Linked DNA regions of Cricetulus griseus. The protein of the gene in region 1 interacts with the protein of each later gene in a biochemical or structural test. Links are inferred from orthologs where the notes say so. Each region holds a gene or a part of one and is shown in the gene's direction. Other genes may lie near its edges. The genes, in order: Atf7ip and Mbd1.

Region 1 (3,924 bases):
CGTGTCATGTGTCTTGTTTCCTGCACATATGGCAGTTTTCAAAGATATTATCCAGTCCATCTCATGGAAAAGTGAATAAAGGCCTCTTTCAAGGCCAAGTATTAGACACATTTTATGGAATGTTTCAAATATGTACATAAAATGAGACAATGATCGTCTTTTAGTTGGTTTTTGCCACCTCTTTTAAAAAGTTGTAAGAAATGCCAACATTTCGATAGACATGACACAGGGTAATTAAACTTGAGGACTGAATACCAAAGAAGATGGAAGAAACTGGGCTCCATAGCTGATGGCAAAGGAAGCAGAAGAGGTCCTTTGTGTTGCCTCCCTTTCGCCTGTTCTGCGCCCGCCCGCCTGTGTCTGTGCCAGGCCTGTTTTGCTGGCAGTGTTCTCAGATTTGGCTAAGTGTCGGTCCCTCTTCCAGACTGGCCTGGACCCTTTTGTCCTCCCTACTTTTCCTTCCCAGAGAGTCTGCATCCTCCCTGACTTTTTCCTGTGCCACCTGAGAGTGTGTCTGTCACATCTGGACCACAAAGAGAAGAAATGTTTGATTTTATGAGAAATTACTAAATTAAGCTTTGTTGCCACCTTAGACTTTATTGTTAAAATTAGAAAATGTGGTTGTAAACTTGGATTGAGCACTTCTGAAGATTAGATTCTGTGGGGAAATTTTTAATTAGCTTTTTAAGATTAAAATTAACTTGATCTAATGAATATAAGATTTAAACAAATTTGACACTCTTCTTTTGATGGATGTATTCTATTAAAGGTAAAGAAGAAAAAGTAAAAAAAAAAAAAAAGGGTCTTGAGCTGGGTTTGAGGGGTTTGACTTTTTTCCTCCCCTTTTTTTCTGGACTGAAATGGAGGCTTTCTTTCAGGCGAATTCCCTAGTGTTTGCTCTGTGTGATCTGGCTCTATCTCTGTAACTGCTAAAATGTGGCATGGATTTCAAGTTGTTTGGGATCGGAATGTGCCCAAAGTCTGTTGCAAGTCCGGATTCACAGGCATTTTGTTGTAAAACTGGCTTGTTGCCTTCCGTTTTCTTTTTCTGTGTGCTAAGTAGCTGCATTGTTTGTTGCAGTATATGCATTAGCTATCTGTGTTCAGTTTCCTGCAGGCTGACAAAGTGGGCGGGGCTTTCTTTGATACATGGCTGAGTTTTCACTGTGTGAGTTCTTGAGTGCACGTTGCAGCCATCTTAATTACACTTTTGTGCAACTGAGACTGTGCAGCTGTCTCAAAATGGCTGCTAACCCAATCTCTGAGGCTGCTTAGGCAGCAGATCTGCCAGTGAAGAGACTTGTCACATGCATCAGGATCTGAGGTAAGAACCAGTAAGCTTTTATCTTTAAACATTACAATTAGAAAACATTTGAACATAACCAGCTTTGTATAGGAAAGAGAATTTGCCTGTGAAGAAGTTGCAACGTTTTCTAAGAGCAGTAAACCTATATTAGAGAAACAGTATATTAGGATGGTGAGGTCAAAGGTTAAATTCCTGTGATTTCTCACCATTTTGTTGTCATTGCCAGAACATTTGATCACCACAGTAGTGCTTTTCAAACTCGAGTGACTTATTACTCCTTGTGTATTGGATAGTTAATTCATTAGATATTTGTAGAAATTCAAACAATGTATTAATTGAGCATTTTTTAAAAGAAATTATAAATTAGCCTTCTTTGGAAAGAGGAGTTTCTGCTTTTTAAAATGAGTTATTATTTGGTAGCTTTGTAAAAAGTACTAATTTGCTATATAAATCAGAAAAATAGTGTCTTTTTTATTTTTTATTATATGCTTCAGTGCTTTCTCATGTACTGCTTTTTATTTTATAATTAATATATATTTATAATATCTCACTTTTTCTTTATTTTTTGTTTGAATTGACATTTGAATCCAGATTTTAAATTTTAGAATAATTTTACATATAGACCTCAGACCTTTTTATTTTTAAAATCTAATGTAGACTGATAACTAGAGAGCTGGAATAAATACTGTTTTAATTAACTAAGTGACATTATTATGTATATTTAAAACTTAACATTCAAAGGGATTATAAATTTAAAGGTTTTTTAGCATTGTAAAACAGAAATATTTGCTGAACTAGTAGAGTATACAGTTTCATGGTTACCTAGCAAGTTGGGAGAATAAATTTTTCTTCCTTCCTTTTTCTTTCTTTAGACATGATCTCAGTGTGGTCCAGTGTTGGCTCTAGTTTGCTGAGTAGCCTAGGTTGCCTTGGGCCCCTTACCTCCAGCCTCTGTCTCTCCAGGACTGGGATCACATGCATACATGCTGCCATGGATTCCCAAAAGAGGGAATGGAATTTAATCACATAATTTGGGGAGAACAGTTACATTTTAAGCGGTGCTTCAGTTATAGTAATTACTGAATTGTTTTCTGAATGGTACATTATACTCCTGTAATTGTGTCAATAGAATATTTTAAACATATTCTTGACTAATACAATAGAGAACAGTTCTGAACATTCTGTATAGAGCTTTTATTTTCCATTTTTGTAAGGTTTTACTCTTTTTACCCCTCCTTCTCTGTTTTTACTTTTTTAAAAACAGATCTGGCCTTGACTTTGCAATCCTCTTGCTTCAGCCTCCCAGAATTATAGGCAAGTACTACCAAGTCTGGTTCTAAAAGCAACTTTTAAAACAGCAAATAATTAGATTTTTGCAAATTCTTAAATTCTTAGGGAAGGCCCCAACATATCCAACATATTAAAAGCTTACACATGAAATTTTATTTTGTACTTATTTTATAGTATGGATTTATAAAATTTACTTGTTATAATTGTATTTAATAAATGAGGTATTATAACAAAACTTCGAAATGAGAGCACATATGACGTTTAGAAGTTTATATTATTGTGCAGATCTAGTTCACTTAGCCTCTAATGCACTATGGAATTCTGTTTGAAATTTATCCTTGAATGCATCTACTTTTTTCTTTCTTTTTTTGTTTTCTTAAAGATGTAGACTAAAATATTAGATCTGCTACTTAATAGTTGAAAATTGCTACCTTGTCATAAACATAAATTTATACTTGCTCTTGGTTTTATATATATATATAAAGTGTGTGTATCTATATACATAGATATATACATACAAGTTTAATATAAATTTTTTGTAATTTAATCACAAGTAAAATGATGACTCATCATAATTTGAATGATAATTCATATAATCACCTGGAAATGTTCATTTGCCTCAAAAACAGAAACAGGAAAACTTGCTTTGTGTGAACGTGTGAGCAAGTCTGCTTTCCTTTCTGCTCAGTAGCATGACAGGAGAGGGAACTACTCCAGCCTCAGTCACTCCTTTTCATGTCTGAGTAGTTCAGTGTCTTGGTGGAAGAATGGAAGGGGATTATGGGATTTAAATATGTAGATCTGAAGATAGCCACTTGGTCTTTAATGTGGAGGAAAATGGATTAGGTTGACATTAGTGAACAGTTTATGTTGGCATTCACGTTTTTTGCCTTTTGTTGCTGAGTGTAGAGTTTACACTCATACTTACCAGTTATGCATGGGGAAATCTAAACTCTGGTTACTTAGGCTATCATTGCTAACTTTACATTGCTGTTTTCCATTTCTATAAGCATAGACTAGATCTTGGATAATTTTGTGTTGGTTGCAGCTTTAAAATTTCTGTGATGAATTACTTATTTATTACTAGTACTACTACTATTATTATTATTAATTTTTGGCTTTTTGAGACAGGGTTTCTCTGTCTGTAGCTGTGGCCCTCTGTGTGTAGTCCTGACTTTCCTGGAACTTGCTTTGTAGACCAGGCTAGCCTTGCACTTACAGAGCCTCCCAAGTGCTGGGACTGAAGGCATGCACCACCACTGCCTGGCTTGGAAACTGAATTCTTGAGGCCATTTATATTGTCCATTCTTCTTTCTCCTCCCTATCGC
Region 2 (3,824 bases), on another chromosome or scaffold:
AATTCTCAAAACATCTAGTAACCACACCTCTGGTCAAACATCCTATTATTTGGCCTTGAGGAGCAAGAACAAGCTTGAACTCTCTGACCTTAAGATGGAATGGAGTCACTGTGGGCTCCCACACATAAGCATGTGTTCTGTATTCGTGAAACAGCTACTAACATTTCTACACCCTTCCTGTTTATCTAAGTTGTCATTTCCCTAGAATATCATAAAATTTCAGATATTTTCAACTTTTATGTTTTTAACTTTTTCCACATATGAAATTGTATAAAAATTTCAAAACTTACAAGTAATTGTCAAAAGATACATATTTATCAGACTAGTAAATGGGTTTGTTAGTTTTGTGGATGCTGATAGGAAATGTGATACTTCCTGGGCCAGATATAAAAAAAATTTCTCACAGTAGTATCAGAGCCTAAAATACCTGTTTTTGGCATTTCTTAGAATCCCAATCCCCATAGGATGACATGAAGAGGGCTAAGTAGCATATATGCTGCACTGTATATAGGAAAGGCAGCCTGTGTATTTGAGTTTAGAAAATCAAGTATCAGTATGATAAGCATTGCTGTCCTTTCCCCTGGAAGGGAGGGGACCTTTTCAAAAGTTACCTGTTTTTACAAACAATGAGAAGGTAGTTTGTTTCAGGAGATAATGAATGCCTCTGATGATTCTTGCAGAAGTGAAAAGACCTAGAATGTCATCCCTCAACATTAGCTACTTATACTTTGTATTGAATATAATTTCATTTTCATGTTTTAAAAAATAGTTCTGTTATAAGCTTTTATGATCATGCATTTGGTATGTAATACATAACATTTGAGTACTGGGTACTTGTCTAGTGTTCTTGGAGCCTTGAGTTTGATTTCTAGTACTATATACACTTCTGAAAAACTGGCACTGGGGTGGTAGAAGCAGGAGGATCAGAAGTTCATCTTTCTTTACATATGAGTTTCAAAGCCCTTTGGGTTAAAATGATATCCCCATCTCAAAGCAAAACAAACCAAAATACATATTTATATCTTACTTACTTACTATTTTGTGTTGATTTTTACTCATATTTTCAACACTAATGGTGTTACATGTTGTAAGTATGTTTATGTGTCTTCATTATTATTTATTTTGGAGCAGGGTCTCTCTCTACTGAGCCCTGGGTATACTGGAACTGATTGTATAGACCAGGCTGGCCTTAAACTCAGAGATCCGCCCACCTGCCTTTGCCTCCCAAGTGCTGGGATTAAAGGCATGTGTACAGTGCCCTGCCTGCTTATGTGTCTATGCACAGTTACCAATAGTAATACAATCTGAGGAATACACAAACTCAGTGATATAGTACACTACACTATACACCTAAGCTAAATATTCATATAGTCATACATTGCTTATTGGTACTGATACATTCTGAGAACATGTTATAAATGATTTTTTCATGTTAAAATCATAGATTATAAAGCTAGGACGTGTGGTGTCATTAGAAAGTATAATCTTAGGGACTGTCATGTATATATAGTTGATTATTGATGAGAGCATTGTTGGATACCACATAACTGTATATGCTATGGAATATGCTCCTTTGCTGAATAAAAATCCCGAGATTAAATCAAACACTAGAGAGAATTAGGAAGTCAAGAGAAGCAATAATCATTTAATTATATCAGGGTACTACTAGTCTAACATTGCAGTTTCACAGTACATTAATTTTTTTCATATGTAGGACTCTAAAATGATAAAAATCACACTAAGTTCATAAACCAGTAATTGTAGTTATTATTAATCAAGTATGTACTGTGGTATTACACTAGGTTTGTTTACACTAACATCACTACAGATGCCTGTATAATGTTGTGTGTATAGTATTGCCAGATAATAGAATTTTCCCCTGTATTATAATTTTATGGATTTACTATAGAATATGTGATGGCATGGATCAAAATGAGGTTCACAGCTCTATTATTTATTAACATTTGTGTGCATGATGGTATTTATATTCATATTTTGTATTCCTGTTACTTGTATTGAGGTAGGACTTGGGTGGGGCTCACAGGCTGAATCCAGACTGCTTCTTGCATCTCACCAAATCTGTGGGGATGTTGTGTGGGTGGCATGACATTAGCTCCCTCTTGGTGCCAACTCATTGTGGTTCATTTTCAGCCCCACAGGAGACAAGATTCGAAGCAAAGTTGAGCTGACTCGATACCTAGGCCCCGCATGTGATCTTACCCTCTTTGACTTCAGACAAGGCATCTTGTGCTATCCAGCTCCCAAGGTACTTCACAATGTCAGTGTCCGTGCCAGGGCACCTGTGTCACGTGATACCCATGTACTAACCCACACTCTTCCTGTCTTCATCTCTAGACCCATCATCCCGTGACTGTCCCTAGCAAGCAGAAAAAGAAGCCTTCTAAACCATCCAAGGTCAAGAAACGTCAGGTTGGGCCTCAGAAGAGTGAGGTCAAGAAGGAGACTCCACAGGATGAGAATAAGGCTGGCACTGGCACAGCTCCAGCTTCATTATCTGCACCTGGGTGAGTGTTGGCTTAAGGTTAGCCAGGTGGGTGAGGCTTGGGATTGGGAGTACATAGCTCTGCTCTTTTAATTTTAGGTGCTGTGAGAATTGTGGAAACCACTTCTCATGGGATGGTGTCAAAAGGCAGAGGCTTAAGACATTGTGCAAAGACTGCCGAGGTAAGTCCCTAGGAATTAGGAGACAAACCACATATTAGATCCAGTGCCAGGCTAAGCTGGAGGTTATACAGTACATGTCAGGATAGGATAGCGGCTTTGGGCATATATGGAATCAGCCTGTGACCCTACTCTATTGGCATATGTAGAACAGTGAGAGTCAGGGTTAAGATAGTAGCTGAAGCCATATGTCTGTGTCTGTTGCTTCTTTTCCATTTCTCACCATTCTTCCTTCTTCCACCAGCACAGAGAATTGCCTTCAACCGAGAACAGAGAATGTTTAGGGTAAGAACAGTATATTTCCCATAGTCTATAAGAGAACAGGATGTCATAGGACTGATGGAGGGTTTAGGAGTCATGACAGGTCTTTTTTGTTTTTTTGTTTTTGTTGTTGTTTTTTAAATTGAGACCTGCTGTTGGTTAGTTTGTAGATGCAATAATGGTAATTAATGGGGTACTAGTAGACACAGGGATGAATTTAACAGAGCACTAGTAGAAGGAACAGTAGTGGCCTTGGTGTTGGTAAGCTAATCAGTAGTTTATTAGCTAGAGTAAAGAGGTTAACGGGAGACTAATAAGCATGGCTAACATTTGGAAGGATAGTGGTCCTTGAGTCCCCTGTCTAGGCTTCTAATCTTACCCCATACATTTCTGACAGAGAGTTGGCTGTGGAGAGTGTACAGCTTGCCTGGTAAAAGAAGACTGTGGGACTTGCTCTATCTGCCGCCTGCAGCTGCCCCATGATGTAGCCTCAGGACTCTTCTGCAAGTGTGAGCAGAGACGCTGCCTGCGGATTGTGGAGAAGGTGAGTCAGTCAGATGAGGTGTGCCAAGGCTCTCCTCAGTCCCTGGCCTTCAAGGCCCTGACCCCATACATCACAACTCCGGCCCCCACAGAGTCGAGGGTGTGGAGTGTGTCGGGGCTGTCAGACCCAAGAAGACTGTGGCCGCTGCCGAGTCTGCCTTCGCCCTTCCCGCCCTGGTGTCAAGCGCCAGTGGAGGTGTATGCAGCGGCGCTGCTTTTGGGTGAGTCAGGCTGAGAGACCAGTGCTGGTGGAGCAAAGGCTGGGCCAGTGCTCATTCTGCTATTAAATTTACCACCATGGCTGCTGTTGCTTCCGCCTAATCTGGCTTTGCCTGCCT

What was found.
Region 2: the proteins of Atf7ip (region 1) and Mbd1 form a complex in vitro, tested with the Homo sapiens proteins (2 studies listed by BioGRID). The link is inferred for Cricetulus griseus from reciprocal best matches to the Homo sapiens genes ATF7IP and MBD1.

The regions. Positions count from the first base shown.
Region 1 is NC_048601.1:12,458,668-12,462,591, reverse strand, and holds the start of Atf7ip (activating transcription factor 7-interacting protein 1), read left to right. Parts: upstream 1-1,019; 5' UTR 1,020-1,307; coding exon 1,308-1,324; intron 1,325-3,924. UniProt on the Homo sapiens protein: Recruiter that couples transcriptional factors to general transcription apparatus and thereby modulates transcription regulation and chromatin formation. Can both act as an activator or a repressor depending on the context.
Region 2 is NC_048595.1:165,545,040-165,548,863, reverse strand, and holds part of Mbd1 (methyl-CpG-binding domain protein 1), read left to right. Parts: intron 1-2,151; coding exon 2,152-2,266; intron 2,267-2,355; coding exon 2,356-2,525; intron 2,526-2,602; coding exon 2,603-2,685; intron 2,686-2,926; coding exon 2,927-2,967; intron 2,968-3,340; coding exon 3,341-3,487; intron 3,488-3,578; coding exon 3,579-3,707; intron 3,708-3,824. UniProt on the Homo sapiens protein: Transcriptional repressor that binds CpG islands in promoters where the DNA is methylated at position 5 of cytosine within CpG dinucleotides. Binding is abolished by the presence of 7-mG that is produced by DNA damage by methylmethanesulfonate (MMS).